Rattus norvegicus: one gene and its partner. The protein of the gene in region 1 interacts with the protein of each later gene in a pairwise test. Links are inferred from orthologs where the notes say so. Each region holds a gene or a part of one and is shown on either strand. Other genes may lie near its edges.

Region 1 (8,414 bases):
CTTGCAAAGTCCTAGATTTCAGTGGCAGTGATCTCCTCCAGACAGATGCAAGGGGCCGGCTCCGACAAGCCCAAATCAGCAAGCTCCCGGGCCTCCAGCTCTAGGCTCAGTTGCTGCAGTTCCTGCTCCAGCTGTCGGTTACGCCGGTACATCTGGACATAGTTGTGCTGCAGCTGCTTCTGGTAGCGGATCACCTGTTCCTTCTCCGCCTGCCAGGCCAGCCGCTCCCCCTCAAAGCTGTTCCGTTGTTCATCTCCCCGCCGCTGCTCCCGCTGCAGTTCTTGGCGCAACCGTTCCACCTGAGCCCGCAGGCTACCCCCTGTCCCAGCGGCTGCCCGCTGCACCTTAGCCTCATCACTCTCCGCCAGGAGGAACGGGTCGGTGGTAGCCGGGGGTACAGGGGGCTCCCGGAGTCCTGCTGCTTCAGCATCCAAATGCCTAGCCTTCTCCCGGAGCTGCTCAGCCTCCTGGCGGTACCGCTGTAGCTCCTGTGAGCAGGCCTCCAGCTCCAGCTCCCGAGCTCGGGCTGCCTCCTGCAGGCCCCGGGCACGGCCCTCACTGACCCGCAAGGCAGCCCGGGCCTCTCGAAGGGCCACCCGCAGCGCCACCAGCTCACTACCCTTCTGGACCAGCTCTGCCTGAGATTCCTTCAGTTGCTGCTTCAGAAGGGAGATCTCACCTGATTTCTGACACACCTGTAGGTGAAAAGTATTGAGGGAAGATGGTGAGGCCTCTGGGTGTTGGGCACCGGGCATTCAAGGAAATGCTGTCTCAGGAGTTTACACACAGAAGCCCAGCAGGAGAGCCTAGTGATACGTCCATGGTTATACTTCTATTAAGAGGTGAAAGGGGGGGGGGGGCTGGAGAGATGGCTCAGAGGTTAAGAGCACTGTCTGCTCTTCCAGAGGTCCTGAGTTCAATTCCCAGCAACCACATGGTGGCTCATAACCATCTATAATCAGGTCTGGTGCCCTCTTCTGGCCTGCAGGCATACATGCAGGTAGAAAGCTGTATGACTATACATAATAAATAAATGTTAAAAAAAAAAAAAAAAAGAGGTGATAGGGGAACAGAGACCCAGGTCATTTCTTTTCAGTGCTGGGATCCTTATACCAGATGCTGTATAAACAAGGCCCAGGCCTGGAGACGGAGGCTGCAGGAGTGGAAACAGAGGGATTAACAGTACCCATCTATCATAGAAGGAAACACCACTAGCTATGTGGGTGCTAGATCACAACTCTGAGAACAACAGAGGAACAGGGAAACCCCCAACACAGAAAGAATAGGAAGGACAGACCCTGGAAGGTAGCTAAACACTGGCCACACCTCTGTGTATCTTAGTGTAACCCCTTCAGCCTGCCCAGTACCCATCTTTATTTTTAATATATTTATTTTTTATGTATATCAGAACATTGTAGCTGTCTTCAGACACACCAGAAGTTTACAGATGGTTGTGAGCCACCATGTGGTTGCTGGGAATTGAACTCAGGACCTCTGGAAGAGCAGTCAGTGCTCTTAAGCGTTGAGCCATCCCTCCAGCCCACCCAGTGCCCATCTTGCATACCTCCCATTTGGTCTCCTCTAGCCGTGGCCCAAGTTCCTGCTGCTCCCTTTCAAAAGTAGCACAGCGGCGCTCCAGCTGCTCTCGCTCCTGCAGCAGCTGGGCGAAGTCATCCTGCAACTGGCGCTTCTCTTGCTGCAGCTGGAACACTTGCAGTTGTAGCAGCTGTTGAGCCCGCTGGACACGCTGTGTGGCCTGCTGTGCGTGAGAGGCACAGTCCTCTCGTTCTCCTGGCCAGCGCCGCTGCCGTGCCCCGAATGCCTAGACAAAGACAGAAGGCTAGAAACGGTTGGGTCCCCCCAAATCGTGAGTTCTAGCATCTTCTGCTTGGGTGGCTCCCTGCCTGGCCTGAATCCAGTGAATTAGGACAACCATAAAAGCAGGCACTTATATGGCATTTCCTAGGTGACAGGCATTATTCTAAGTACTTTATCCCTTTCGTCTTATTTAATCTTCATAACCCCTTTAGGGAGTAACAGCTATCCCCATTTAGACAGGGAAACTGGGGCTGGGTGAGGTTAAGCAACTTGCTCAAATCTAACATCCTACAAGCCAGTGCTGGATCCAATTCACATACCTTGCCTCCTCACTGCTTTGAAGGTTATGCTCATAGCCTTGGGGGTGTCACATCATGAGTCTTTACCCTCTTCCTCCCCAACAGGAATTGTCCCTAGGCCCTGGGTATTCAGCCACACCGCCCCAGGACTGCCACTGGCCGCACCTGACACACGGCGGCCTCACTCTCATCCACACTGTCCCGCAGCTGCTGCAGCTCTGCCTCTCGGTCTCGAAGCTTCCCTTCCAGGACACAGTGTAGCAAGGCCTCATCCGAAGGGGGTGGAGGTGGTGGAGGGGGTGGGGAGCGGTCTCCACCCGAACTGCTGCCAGGGGAGGCCCGGGCCCCACTGCCCAAGAGCCCCCCAGCTACACGAGCCCCCAAGGAACCTGTGCTTTTGCTGGAGGAGGACCGGCCACTGTCTGAATGGGAGGGCCCAGTAGGGACCCCTCGGGCTGGACCAGGCAGTGGCCCTCGGCCAGGGCCGTGGGAGGGCAGGTGCCCACCTGGGGAGTTGGCAGTTGGCTCGGCACCTCCGGTGCTGTAGGTGGGCAAGCTTGATAAAGAATTTCGGCCAGAGTCTGACAGTGTTCCTGAAGGGCAGCCACTGGCCCAACCGCTGAGTGCCAAGGGTTTGTCAGTAGCAGAGGAGGAAGAGGAAGAGGAGGAGGAAGAGGCTGGCCCCCCAAACAGCTGTGTCAGGCTGCCCTGGCTCCCAGATAGCCCAGCAGCTCGAGGACCAAGGAAGCCAGGTAGGGATGGCGCCCCTCGAGGTTTGGGTAGCACTGGCTTGAAGGCTGTTGGTCGGATCAGGATCTTCTCCATATTCTGAAATGAGGTAGCATGTGACACTGTGAGGATGATCTGCCCGACCCCTTTCTTTTTAAAAAATTTAGTATTGTTGTGAGACAGGGTTTTACTCTATTGGCCTGGGTCCACTCACTATGTATCCCCTTGAACACAAGCCCTTCAAGATTACAGGTGTGTGATACCAAGCCCACTTTGCTTACTTGATCTTTCAAAACACACACACACACACACACACACACACAGAGGGGGGTGCATATGTATGAGTATGGATACGTGGTGCCTATGTGTGAAGATCAAATGTCAAAGTGTCAAAGTTAGGAGCTTTCCTCAATCACTTCCCACCTAAGTTTTTACACAATCTCTGGACCTGGATTTCATCAATCCAGCTAGTCTTGACTGGCTAGCAAGCCCCAGGGATCTGCCTGTCTCTGCCTGACAAGTGCTGAGATTCCAGTCCTTTGCCACAACGGCCACCTTTTTATATGGGTACTGGATCTGAACTTAGGAACGTGTATGAGTACACTGTCACTGTCTTCAGACACACCAGAAGAGGGCATCGGATCCCATTACAGATGGTTGTGAGCTACCATGTGGTTGCTAGGATTTGAACTCAGGACCTCTGGAAGAGCAGTCAGTGCTCTTAACCTCTGAGCCATCTCTCTGGCCCACCTTGATCTTACAAAATCATCATACTACTTGGCTTTCCCATACAGGGTTCTCACCCCTATAAATGAAAAACAATGGTTCCCACCGTTTCTTTCTTTCTTTCTTTCTCTCTCTCTCTCTCTCTCTCTCTTTCTTTTTGGAGCTGGGGACCAAACCCAGGGCCTTGTGCTTGCTAGGCAAGTGCTCTACCACTGAGCTAAATCCCCAACCCCGGCGGCACCGTTTCTAAACGTCTACTTATGTTAAGTAATTCAAAATGCTTATTTTTAATCATGATAATAGCCACGCAAGCAAAACATTATCCTCCTCTCCTACTAAAAACAGGATAGAGTCAGTCCCAGAATAAAGGTAAACAAAGGCTTCGCCCAAACACACACACGCACGCGCACGCACACACACACACACACACACACACACACACACACACACACAACACCACACCATACCACACCACACACCTCTATAATAACTAAAGCAACTTGGCTGGAAGTGGTAACAAATGCCTTTAATCCCAGTACTTGGGAGGCAGAAGCAAGCAGATCTCTGTGAGTTCAAGGCCAGCCTGGTCTACATAGTGAGTTCCAAGACAGTCAAGCTACAGAGAAAAACCCTGTCTCAAACACCAAAAGAGAGAGAGAGAGAGAGAGAGAGAGAGAGAGAGAGAGAGAGAGAGAGAGAAACACGAACTACTATATTGTTCATTTGGGAGTATTAATTCTAACAGGAGCCTATAAAGATTATCCTCTAACCTTAACTGTAAAGACACAGAAAATGGGGCTCAGACAGGTTATCTCCCTGAGCCAGAAAGAGAGATAAGACAGAGTCCATGCCTCCAAATTCTAGCTTCCCCAGCGGGGAGCTCGACCCCACCCAGATCCTCCCAAGAGGGCTGCCCGTTACCTTCTCCAGCCTTCCAGAGACAGGGATGAGCTTTGGTGGGGGCCCACGGAGGTGGGCATTGTGTGCCTGATGTTCTCGGGGATCTTCGACATCACTGCTTGGGCTGGGAGGTGACTCTGTCCGGAAGTCCTCATTGACATAGGTAAAGCTGTTGCCTGGGACAGTCTTCCTGGGTGGCACAGCTGGGCAGAGTGGTTCCTGGGCCTCATAGCCACCCCGGAGCAGCCCATCCTGCTGGCGGAAGAAGGTAGGCCCAGGGACACCATGGTGGCGTTGAGGAGCAGGTCCCCCAGGACAGGGCCGGCCTGAGATAAGACTGCTCACGCTGCCCATTGCTGGAGTTTGTGGGGCAGTGGCTGTCTCACGTGCGGGCTCCAGTGGCACTGGCAGAGTGTGCACAATGGCCATGGTGGCAGAGGTTCAGGCCTGGCCAGGGGCCTCCAGGGCAACCTGCGAGCAAGGCATTGGCGTCAGAGTCCCTGCACCTTGAGGATCCTCCCCCTATTAGCCTTCTCCTGACCCCCTCTTCCAGATAGAACATTCCCCATATAGTGAAACAGCTTCACCTCCCAAGAACTGGCAATGAACCTCAAGTCCCTCTGGGCCTCAACTCTAGTCTGGAACAAGGATAAGGAACAACTCAACCAAACAGAGATGAAAGAATGGGAGAACTAAGAGGTTATGCAGGGTTCCTTGACAGAGGAGACCCAGTTAAGCCCAAACCTGTATCCCCTATATAGCGAAGTCTCAGATTGGGCAGAGATCCCTAACTACTAGCTCCCAGTACATGTCCCTACTCTCTTGGGACAGGTGGCCTCATTCCTGGGCTATTTGGGCAGAGGACAAGTCAGGGATACAATCAGTAACTCAGATGGTAATTAGGGAACAAAGAACCAAAGCCAGGCACTGTCCAGCCTCCCACTGCTAGGCCTCAGTTTCTCCCAGACACTCAGGCGGCGTTGAGGGTGGAGCTGGCCAAACAGGAAACCTCACAGGTCTTAGGAACCCACAGATGCCCTCTGGGGTCTCCTACTTCCCAGAGGTCGATATAGGCTGTGCTTGTTTCTATGTCAACTCTTAGCTTCTGCCATCACTTGGGACTAAGGTAGCCTACACAGGCCCTGTCCCACTGTCAACCTTTATAAACCTTCCTGCTTTAGTTGATCTTCGGAATAACTCCTATGGAATTTGAGCAGGAGCCCATTACCACATCTGGTAGGATCTCAAGGAAGATGGCTCCACCCCCACCCCCCATCCTCAGTCTTGCTCCTTCCTGGGAAGGATAGCAAGCCTGCACCCGGAACTCCCTCCCAGTCCCAAGGCTGCCGATGACCAAGACTTAGGCATCTGCTGAAGTCATCATGTAGCTCAGGGGCCAAGAAGTGGACAGAGGCCTCCATGAGAGAGTGTGTATGTGTACACTTGTGGTGTGAGTACATAGACAGGACCATAAAAATGAAGAGAATCTGTGAAAACGTACATGAAAATATGCAGTATGAGTTTAGGCAGATAGTTCGTGCACACACACACACACACACACACACACACACACACACACACGAGATGTAGGGGGACATGACAAAAACAAACAGGGTTGTGCCATGCACCACAAGTGGGCCTCAAACTCAGGGATCCTCTTGCCTCAGACAGCTGGGATTCTAACCTTGTGCTCCTATGCTCAGCTGTACATGTGAATTCTTTTGTTTTGTTTGTTTGCTTTTCCAAGACAGGGTTTCTCCATGTAGCCCTGGCTGCCCTGGAACTTGCTCTGTAGACCAGGCTGGCCTTGAACTCAGAGATCCACCTGCCTCTGCCTCCTGAGTGCTAGATGTGTGAGTTCTTATGTTTTACAAGACTACGAGTTTCATAACTTAGGAAGCAACAGATGTTGTTAATGTGTATGTAACAAATGAATCTGTGGGCTCTGAATGTCACTATATGACAAGAAAATGGTTGGATATACGTTTGTCTACATATATGTGAGTTTTGTGTAAATATCACCAAATGTGAGCCCCGAGTTGGTTTCAACCAGCCATCCTCAATAAGCCATTTATTTTCTCCTTTCAGCGTGGAATTCCTAGGGTAATCCTCATTTTTCTGGGGTCCATTGAGTCAAGCCTCTCAGATTGAGAGGCAAATCTCTACAGAACGTCTTCATTTCTCCCAGGACAGTTACATGGACTCCAATGTATGTATTTTACACAAGGAAAGGGCGTGAAAGCTTATTTGGAGTAATCTGTACGTGTGAGTATTCTGGGAGTGCCTTGGGACCTTCTTGACATTCAAGGCCACCGGGAGTGACTGGGAGCTCCTCCCTAAAACTTTTTCTTTTTTTAAACCTAAGAGTTCGAGGAAAGGTGAGATCACAGTGTTGGAAGTTCTTGCCCCATCTAATCTTTCTATATTGTTCTCCATTAAGTGCCCTCAGTGTTAAGACACAGCTCAGAGTCACAGGAGTCCAGCTTGAGGACAGAGTTGCTGAGAGCTAGGGTAGGAAGTGAAATGGGTACAAGAAGCAACTACATACTTCTCTGTCGGGCTAGGTACTGAGATCGCCCCCATCAGGTCCAGCCTAGGGATAGAGACTGCTCCACAGTATAGAGAGAAGAGTGAGAAAGAGCTGGCACTCCTGTCCCTACTCCGGGGTAGACAGAAAGACCCAGAAGGAAGGGCAAGGCACTCAGAGACAAGACAGAAGAGACAAAGAGGCCAAGAGACTCAGACACGAGGAGCCCCAGGCAGACCCCTGAGTTAGGGTCGCTGAAGCTACACAGGCAAGGACCCTGCAAGCCAAGGGAACGTAAAACTGGGCCCTGAGGGCTCTGAGGGCCAGGCGTCTGGAAAGCCAGGCCTAGCCAGCCTGGCTCCCGCTCTTGAGGCCCAAGAGAGAAGGAGGGGCAAGCGGCTCCATTTTGAGAAATGCGTTTGTAGCTGTGGGAAAAAGAAACCCCTGGCTCTCCCTAGCACTCCCTGACCTATCACTATGGTATAAAGACCCCTATGCCCTCACCCTAGCAAGTGGGCTGGGGGTTCTAGAATCTGGGGCCGCGCCAGGGCCTGAGATAAGTCTGGCCCACGTTCCAACTCTCTGACCTCAGGGCTGGGGTTGGAGAGTTGGGGAAAGTCCCCCTAACACATACACTCAAACTCCAGAGACCAGTCAAGCAGGATCCAGTCTGGGATCACGAGTTTTCATTCCGAGACTGAAGCCCAGAGTCCCCGGCCCACCCATAATAGTCCTCTCCTTCCATGAATTGGGGGCGTCTATGGAATGCCACCTCCCCACCGGACCGCATCGCTTAGAAGTTGGGGCACCCTCAGCCCTGGACCCCTCACCTCCGCCGCGCTGCTCCATGCTCAGCCCCGGGCCGCCCCAGCACTCCACAGGCGCGCCGCCCGCTCCAGCCCGCGCGCGCGGCCACTCGGAGCTGCCCAGCTCGGCCCCGCCTCCGCCTAGCCGGCGCCCCCGGCCCTGACCAGCCCCCGCCCGGCCCGAGTGGGCGGTGCACGCCAAACGGGGGAGGGGTCCGAGGGGCGTCCCCGCCCCGGGGCGCGGACACGCGCAAGCAACCCACGTCACGAGTGCCCGCCAGGGCGCACGCGGGGGTTGCACGGCGGCGCTTGGGATTCCTCCCAGAGTGGCCTAGAGACTGCGTGTGTTAGGAGGTTCAGCTGGCTCGAGACTTGTCGAGCGGGTCATCGTTTATCCCTGCCGGAGCCCAAGGGCCGGCGGCAGCTGGTCATTGTTCCAGCACAAAGAACCAAAGCGCGGCGCCTGCCCCTCCCCCACAGCTCCTCTAGGAGAAGCTTTCCTCCTCAGTGTCTAGCTTCCCGGTCCAAAGGGAGGCCGAGGGGGGTCAGCTCCGGTTGCTGGCTCCCAGGCACAAGCTGAGGGACTGGCTCGGTCGCAGTCTGTCCCTC
Region 2 (7,393 bases), about 42 Mb from region 1:
AGCACCTCCTCCATGTGCCAGATCTCCTAAGCAGAGGGTGTGTAGCACTGCTGCCTGTGGCCTTCACTGGAGCCTTGTTGCATTTCTCCTGTAGTTGTCCTTGACCCTTGTGTAGGCCCATACATTGTGTACATGCTGCAGGAGATCGACATCCTGGAAGACTGGACGGCCATCAAAAAGGTAGGTCCACTGCTGCCTGCTTACCCCACCCTGCTTTGCCACCCATCCTGCTCCTTCCAACCATTTCCTCCCTGCTTCCCACTCCTTCACCTGGCCCCTGTGCCAGGTCTCATGTCCGAGGATGCCCCCGTGCCAGCTCTAGTATCCAAGGATGCCCCTGTGTCAGCTCTAGTATCCGAGGATGCCCCCATGCCAGCTCTAGTATCCGAGGGTGCCCCCGTGCCAGCTCTAGTATCCGAGGATGTCCCCGTGCCAGCTCTAGTATCCAAGGATGCCCCCGTGCCAGCTCTAGTATCCAAGGATGCCCCTGTGTCAGCTCTAGTATCCGAGGATGCTCCTGTGTCAGCTCTAGTATCCGAGGATAACCCCCGTGCCAGCTCTAGTATCCAAGGATAACCCCCGTGCCAGCTCTAGTATCCAAGGACTAGTATCCAAGGATAACCCCTGTGCCAGCTCTAGTATCCGAGGATGCCCAGGCAGTTCTCTGCTTGCGCCTCAGCAACATCTATCTCAGCCCAGGTGCCCTGACTCTGTGGAAGTTTGTAGTCCTCCTGCTTAGAGACTGCCCTGAGGAAGGGGTGTTCGTGTCAGCCCTTGTTCCAGGAGGGCTGGAAGAAGAGGGGCAGCTGCTGGGCTGGCCTCCAAGCCGAGACACTTTGGGGCTTGGTGTAGAAGATTTTTATACTTCATACAACTTGACTCAGAGAGGCTTTTATCCTGGTCTGTGGGGGGCAGTATCAACAAGCTATAATGGACTCTAAGGGACCCTTTCTTCTCTCCACCCAGGCCAGGGCAGCAGTGTCCCCTCAGAAGAGAAAAGCAGATGGTAAGAACCGCAGACACAGGCTTGTCAGAATTGGTAGCCTGATCTGACTTTGAGGGTTTTGTGGGAGTTTGAGGAATAGAATCCAGGTTGGAGAAGCTCTTGGCTGAGGGAGCAAGAACATGGAGAGGTGGAGGTGTAGCTCAGTGGTAGTGCTCTCGCCTAGCATGGGCAGGAACCCAGTCCCAGGCTGCACACCACAAGAAGGTAAAAGTGCCTGGAGCCCCCAGGCAGGGTGGAGCAGAGAGAGCAGTAAGAAGAGACCCTTATGGATGAAGGGAGTAAGGCACTTCCCTCAGTGCCTTCAGGAAGTGGTGGTTGTCATTTTCTTTCAACGTCCTTCTACCCTTCTAGGACCCTGACCCTGCATTTACACTCGGAGGGTCCTTGGGGCAGCTGGCACCGCACACAGGATTAACGTTTCTCTGCAAAGGCAGGGGGTTACTTACTGCTGGACTCCTCTGCTCTCCTTGGGATCTGTATAACCAACCGGCCCTGACGCTGACCTGGCCAAGCAAGACCGTTGTCTCCATCCCTGAGCAGCCCACCCCTCCCCAAAGAGTAACTTCTCAGTGTCCCCCACAAGAAGACAGGCCTCATCCAGAGTCAAAGCAGCAACCCTCCTGACTAAACCCTGGTCCTTGGCCACTGAGTCATGAGCCAGGCCCCGCTGCAGGAGGGACTCCTGCCAGAGACATGTTGGGTCTTGCCCATCCTAACTGCCACTGGGGAGTTGGCTTCCCAGGCTTTCTCAGGGCCATTCCTGGTGTCTGCCTCTCAGATCCCAAGGACTGGAATAAAATTGGACCTGGATATGACTGCTGTGTGGTTGTTGTATCTTACAAGGGAATCAAGGCTTTTGTGGGGAGCACCTAAGACAGACTTCTGGGGTCCCTACAGTTTGAGACATTAGTTCTTAGAGAAAAGCCTGAGGAAGGAAGTTGGGACCAGGGCAGGCAAACAGTCGAAGCACGTGGCCTCGGGTGGGGAAGGGGCTTCTGCACATTTCTGGAGGTCAGGTCATGTCTGCACCTGCCCCAAACACTTGGCAAATTGGCAAGGCGGGCTAGCTAGCAGGGTCTGTGTGTGGGAGACAGCTAGCAGCAGCACCATGTGCTGTCGACCTCACAGCCACACGCCCCCTCTGCTTAGCAGTGAGTGTCAGAACCACCCCCAGAACCTCAGTTAAGCAAAGAGCTTAGTTTCCATGGAGACACAGCATCCTTTCTCCATAGCAACCTGAAATCACAAAACCCAAGTTAGATTCAGGAATGAGTCATCTGCAACCAGTAGGGGGTGCTCTCCCACAAGGCTGACCCCGCCTTCAAGGCTGGAACAGATGAGCCAGTGACCACAGACTTCTTAAGGTGACCCAGGGGTGCGGCTTGGGCCTGTGGGAACTTGGTTGGCCGTGTTTAACCCCTCCCTATCCCACTGCATAGTGTGAGGAGGCTACAGGAAGTGCTGTGTGGAGGTGCTCCTCCCACAGCGGGGGCCCTGATAGACTCTAGTGTGGAAGCCTCTGCCATTCAAGACTGGGCCAAGAGCAAAAGAAGTGGACACTGGCTACATGGAGTGGACATACAAGAGTTAACTGGCGGGGTGTGACCGGGCGAACCGCCTTCAGGAAGTGTTACTCACCGCCAGGAATGTGCACGCCTGTGCCTTGGGGGTTGGATTCTCTTCCTGAGTCCCAGGAGAAGCTGAAGGAGCTCCCAGCCATGGAAGACCCTGGTGAGACCGAAGCACACCCTCTGGGAGCCACCAGCCTGAACTTTGTACCTGGGTACCAACAGGAAGAAAAGTTAGTAAAGTCGGGAGATCAGCCAGGTGCAGGGGGTGAGGGCAGTTATAGGAAGATCTGGCAAGGACAGGAGAGATGGGAAGCCCCAAATGGGAAGAGGTGTTCACCCAAGACCCCTACTCAAGTCTGGGTGTCTGCCCCCAGGCCATCTCCAGACCCACTGTATGACACACCTGATGCCAGAGGGGTTCAGGCAGGCGGGTCCCAACAACCAGCACGCACAGTGAGCTTGCGGGAGCGGCTGCTGATCACCCGGCCTGTGTGGTTACAGCTGCGGGCCAACGCTGCAGCCGCACTGCACGTGCTGAGGACAGAGCCTCCGGGGGTGAGTCTCTCCCGTTCCTAAAGGTCTAGCCGGACAAGACTGGGAGGGAAAGGGCCTGGACGTGGAGATCCTGAGCCTCCTAATCTTGATCACTCGCAGACCTTCCTGGTGCGGAAATCTAACACTCGCCAGTGCCAGACTCTATGTGTGCGGCTGCCAGAAGCTAGTGGCCCCTCTTTTGTCTCCAGCCACTATCTCCAAGAGAGTCCTGGCGGTGAGGAGGGTGGCCTAGAGGGAAGGGGCTGGAAGACAGGCAGGGGAGGGAGGTTCCCAGAGAACGGCCTCACTCCCAATGTCTCTCAGGCATCTCTTTGGAGGGCTCAGAGCTCACATTCCCGGACCTGGTCCAGCTCATCTGTGCATACTGTCATACCAGGTGAGCCTGCCAGCAGGGCACCTGGTGACCCCTGGGCCTGCCTCCAGGGACTGCCCACCCTCTGCATCTGAGCACCACTCTCTCTTGACTGCACTTTGCTCTGACCTTAGGGACATTCTTCTCCTCCCTCTCCGACTCCCCAGAGCCATTCATCAGGCAGCCACCCACAAAGAGCTGGAGGCCATCTCCCATCTGGGCATGGGTAAGGGTCCCCTGCAGCCTGTTACACAGATGGACACATAGAAGCCAAATGGGGGGAAGAAAGAACAACCAAGATTTTTCTTTGTGGGTACTCTCCAGAGCCAGCTCTGAGGTCCCCATTGGTTTCTGATTGCTAGAGTTCTGGAGTTCCTCTCTCAACACCAAGAACCAACAGAGACCTTCAGAAGCTCCGCAGATACCCCGGCTGAAGGCTCGCTCCCCTCAAGAGCTGGATCAGGGCACTGGTGCAGCCCTCTGCTTCTTCAACCCCCTCTTCCCCGGGGATCTGGGCCCCACCAAACGTGAGAAATTCAAGAGGAGTTTCAAAGTGCGTGTATCCACAGAGACCTCCAGCCCTCTGTCTCCACCTGCTGTGCCGCCTCCTCCAGTCCCCGTTCTGCCAGGGACATCTTCCAGCCAAACGGAAAGACTGCCCCCTCGACAGCTGCTGCAGAGGGAGAGCTCAGTGGGATACCGTGTGCCAGGAAGTGCTTCTGGTCCTAGTCTTCCTCCCCTACCTTCACTTCAGGAGGTGGACTGCTGCTCCCCCAGCAGCTCAGAGGAGGAGGGTTCTTCAGGAAGCCCTACAACCTCCCCACGCCTAAGCCGCCCAAGGCACCGGCGGCCTCTGCTTCGGTCCATGAGTTCTGCTTTCTGCTCTCTGCTGGCACCAGAGAGGCAGGTGGGCCGGGCAGCTACAATGCTAATGCACAACCGATACACAGCTGTGGGTCAGCTAGTGCAGGACCTATTGACCCAGGTTCGTGTTGGTCCTGAGTCCCGGGAGTTGCAGGGCATCCGACAGGCCCTGAGTCGGGCACGGGCCATGCTGAGTGCAGAGCTGGGCCCTGAGAAACTGCTACCACCAGAGCGGCTGGGTAAGGCCGAGCCCTGGCCTGCACCGGTTCATGTCCCTGGCTCTCCATCCTCCCCTGTCTCCCTCTCTCCTTGACTTTGGTACCTAATGACTGCTGCTTACCCTGCACCCCACCCCCACCCCTTCTCACTACTGGTGCAGGGAATTCCATCTTCTCCTCCTCACCCTTCTCCCTATCTCCTGTCTTGGCGAGGGACTCCTGCTTTTCCAGGCTTCTTTCCCCTGACAGCAACAACTCTCTTCTTGCAGAATTGGTCCTGGAGAAATCCCTGCATCGCTCTGTTCTCAAGCCTCTTCGACCCATTCTAGCTGCCCGCCTGCGGCGCCGACTTTCCACAGACGGTTCCCTTGGCCGCCTAGCTGAGGGCTTCCGCCTGGCCCGGACCCAGGGGCCTGGAGCCTTCGGGTCCCACCTGAACCTTTCTTCCCCAGTGGAGATAGAACCAGTGCGTCAGAAGCTGCTGCAGCTCCTTCGTGCCTACTCGCCTAGTGCCCAGATCAAGTGGCTCCTGCAGGCCTGCAAGTTGCTATACACAGCCCTGAAAACCCAGGCAGGTATGACCCCCTTACCCCAACCACTTCCCCCAGCTCCACTCTTTCAAAGTAGAGGCTGTGCACTACCCACTTCCACAGCAAGCCGGTTCCAGAACCCCAGAGCTGCAAGCAGCATAGAAGGATCCAATCCTCTATTCCAGGAACTCTAGAGAACATTGTCTTTCTTCCCTGTAACTTTCCCTGAGGTTGCTATGTTGGTCCTGGTCTGTTACCTAGTTACCTAGGGATCTAGCAGGCGGAGGGGAGGGGTCACTGTCTAGTGTGGCGATTGGGCCTCTGAGGAGGCTGGAACTTCTTCCCATGTCTCCACAGGGGAGAATGCAGGTGCTGATGAGTTCCTGCCTCTCTTGAGCCTTGTCTTGGCCCAGTGCGACCTTCCTGACCTCCTGTTAGAAGCTGAGTATATGTCAGAGCTACTGGAACCCACATTGCTCACTGGGGAGGGTAAGAGTTCCCTCGCTTCCTGTTGGGGTGAAACTGGGGCTTCTTAGCTGCTAGTAAGTTCTTAGTAATCAAGGAAGGAAAGGCAGGCCACCCTACCCCAGCCTGAGGTGCATTTTATGTATCCTGTGTCCCAGGCGGCTACTACCTGACCAGCCTCTCAGCCAGCCTGGCCTTGTTGAGTGGCCTAAGCCAGGCCCACGCACTGCCACTCAGCCCTGCCCAGGAGCTCCAACGTTCTCTGGCCCTCTGGGAACAGCGCCGCCTGCCGGCCACCCACAACTTCCAGGTAAAGGGCCCTTCCCCACGTCTTCCCCATACTGGCCATGCTTGGAGGGACTCTAACATTACCCAGCACAGTTCCTCTACCCAGCACAGTTCCTCTAGCCTTGCATCACCCTACAATAGAAATAAAGGCCCACCTGGGTATCAGAGCAGCCCTTCAGGAGAATGTGTTCCATGGGGCAGGCACTGGACTGTGAACTTCAGGGCAGCCTCCTTGAATCATCACAGAAACCCTGCAGAGGTAGGGCCATTGTTTTTCTCATTTTACAGATAAGGAAGTAGAAACTGATGTCAGAGTGACAGCTAATTCCTGTCCTCTAGCACCAGCTAAGGCTCTACCATCCTTGTCCTTGAGCTTCAGTCTTTGCTCCCATTTGGACCTCAGCCAGGGCACACCATCCTTGACCTTCAACCTTCTCAGTCTTGCCAGATCCCAGATTCATCCCAGCTCTATCACTTTTTGTCTGTGCCTTGGTTTTCTCATCTCTAAAATGGGCACCTTGGTTGCCATGAAGGGAAGGTGTACTAGTGAACTATGGGGGAATAGTTCTAGGTAGGTAGCCCCAGGAACAGTTATGGAGAGAGCCAAGCACACAGTGGACTTTCCTTATAGATCTTTTCATAAAGTCCCCTCTGGCTGGCCTTGCACCTATACCACTAGTCCGAACACATTTCTCCCTGCCCCAATGTCCCCCTTGGAGCCCACAAGTCAGTCAGATCTACCATGAATGTGTACCACCCCACTCTATCACTGCACAGCTTCAGCCTGTCCCTTGTGCTTTGGAGGTGACAACCAGACAGAGCTGAGGACTTGTTCTTACTTTCTGCACAGCACCTCCTCCGAGTAGCCTACCAGGACCCCAGCACAGGTTGCACCTCCAAGACCTTGGCTGTGCCCCCGGGGTCTTCGATTGCCACCCTGAGTCAACTCTGTGCCACCAAGTTCCGAGTGACCCAACCGGATGCATTTGGCCTCTTTCTCTACAAGGACCAGGGCTACCATCGCCTGCCCCCTGAAGCCCTAGTCCACAGGCTTCCCACAACTGGTTACCTCATCTACCGCCGGGCAGAGCGCCCCGAGACCCAGAGGGCTGCAACAGAGAAGACCAAGACAGGAAATGAGAGGCCAGAGGCAGGAGCATGGGAGGAGGAGAAAGGGGGTCTAAATGGTGAAGGGAAATCTGAGATAGCTGTTGACCAAGAAGGCAAGGATCAGGCCAGAGGAGGTCACATGCAGCTAGAGGAACAAAAGGCAGAGGGATGCCCGGCTTTAGAAGAGTAGCCAGGAACAGCTAAAAGGGTTACCTGGGTCTTCAGGAGCCTCTAAGTGCACTCTGCCCAGCTGCCGAGCTTCCTTCACTACCCACACACAGTTCTCTGTGGTGTCTGCCACTGCCTCTAGCTGATCTTCATGAGTCCACCTGCTAGGGAACAGGGAGCTCACCATATAGACGAGGGCAGCGTTAAAAGAGTTGGGAGACTGCCAGACCCTCTGTTCAAGGCCCCTGGCTTCTGTCTTCCCCTGT

What was found.
Region 2: the proteins of Lzts2 (region 1) and Rin1 interact in binary tests that used the Homo sapiens proteins (3 or more experiments, as listed by UniProt). The two-hybrid records come from large-scale screens. The link is inferred for Rattus norvegicus from reciprocal best matches to the Homo sapiens genes LZTS2 and RIN1.

Annotation. Positions count from the first base shown.
Region 1 is NC_086019.1:253,828,628-253,837,041, reverse strand, and holds the start of Lzts2 (leucine zipper putative tumor suppressor 2), read right to left. Parts: upstream 4,944-8,414; 5' UTR 4,902-4,943; coding exon 4,494-4,901; intron 2,946-4,493; coding exon 2,283-2,945; intron 1,823-2,282; coding exon 1,565-1,822; intron 696-1,564; coding exon 12-695; 3' UTR 1-11. UniProt on the Homo sapiens protein: Negative regulator of katanin-mediated microtubule severing and release from the centrosome. Required for central spindle formation and the completion of cytokinesis.
Region 2 is NC_086019.1:211,782,591-211,789,983, forward strand, and holds Rin1 (ras and Rab interactor 1), read left to right. Parts: upstream 1-2,516; 5' UTR 2,517-2,652; coding exon 2,653-2,807; intron 2,808-2,951; coding exon 2,952-3,132; intron 3,133-3,231; coding exon 3,232-3,346; intron 3,347-3,435; coding exon 3,436-3,508; intron 3,509-3,618; coding exon 3,619-3,710; intron 3,711-3,846; coding exon 3,847-4,587; intron 4,588-4,835; coding exon 4,836-5,141; intron 5,142-5,453; coding exon 5,454-5,585; intron 5,586-5,719; coding exon 5,720-5,871; intron 5,872-6,699; coding exon 6,700-7,149; 3' UTR 7,150-7,165; downstream 7,166-7,393. UniProt on the Homo sapiens protein: Ras effector protein, which may serve as an inhibitory modulator of neuronal plasticity in aversive memory formation. Can affect Ras signaling at different levels. First, by competing with RAF1 protein for binding to activated Ras.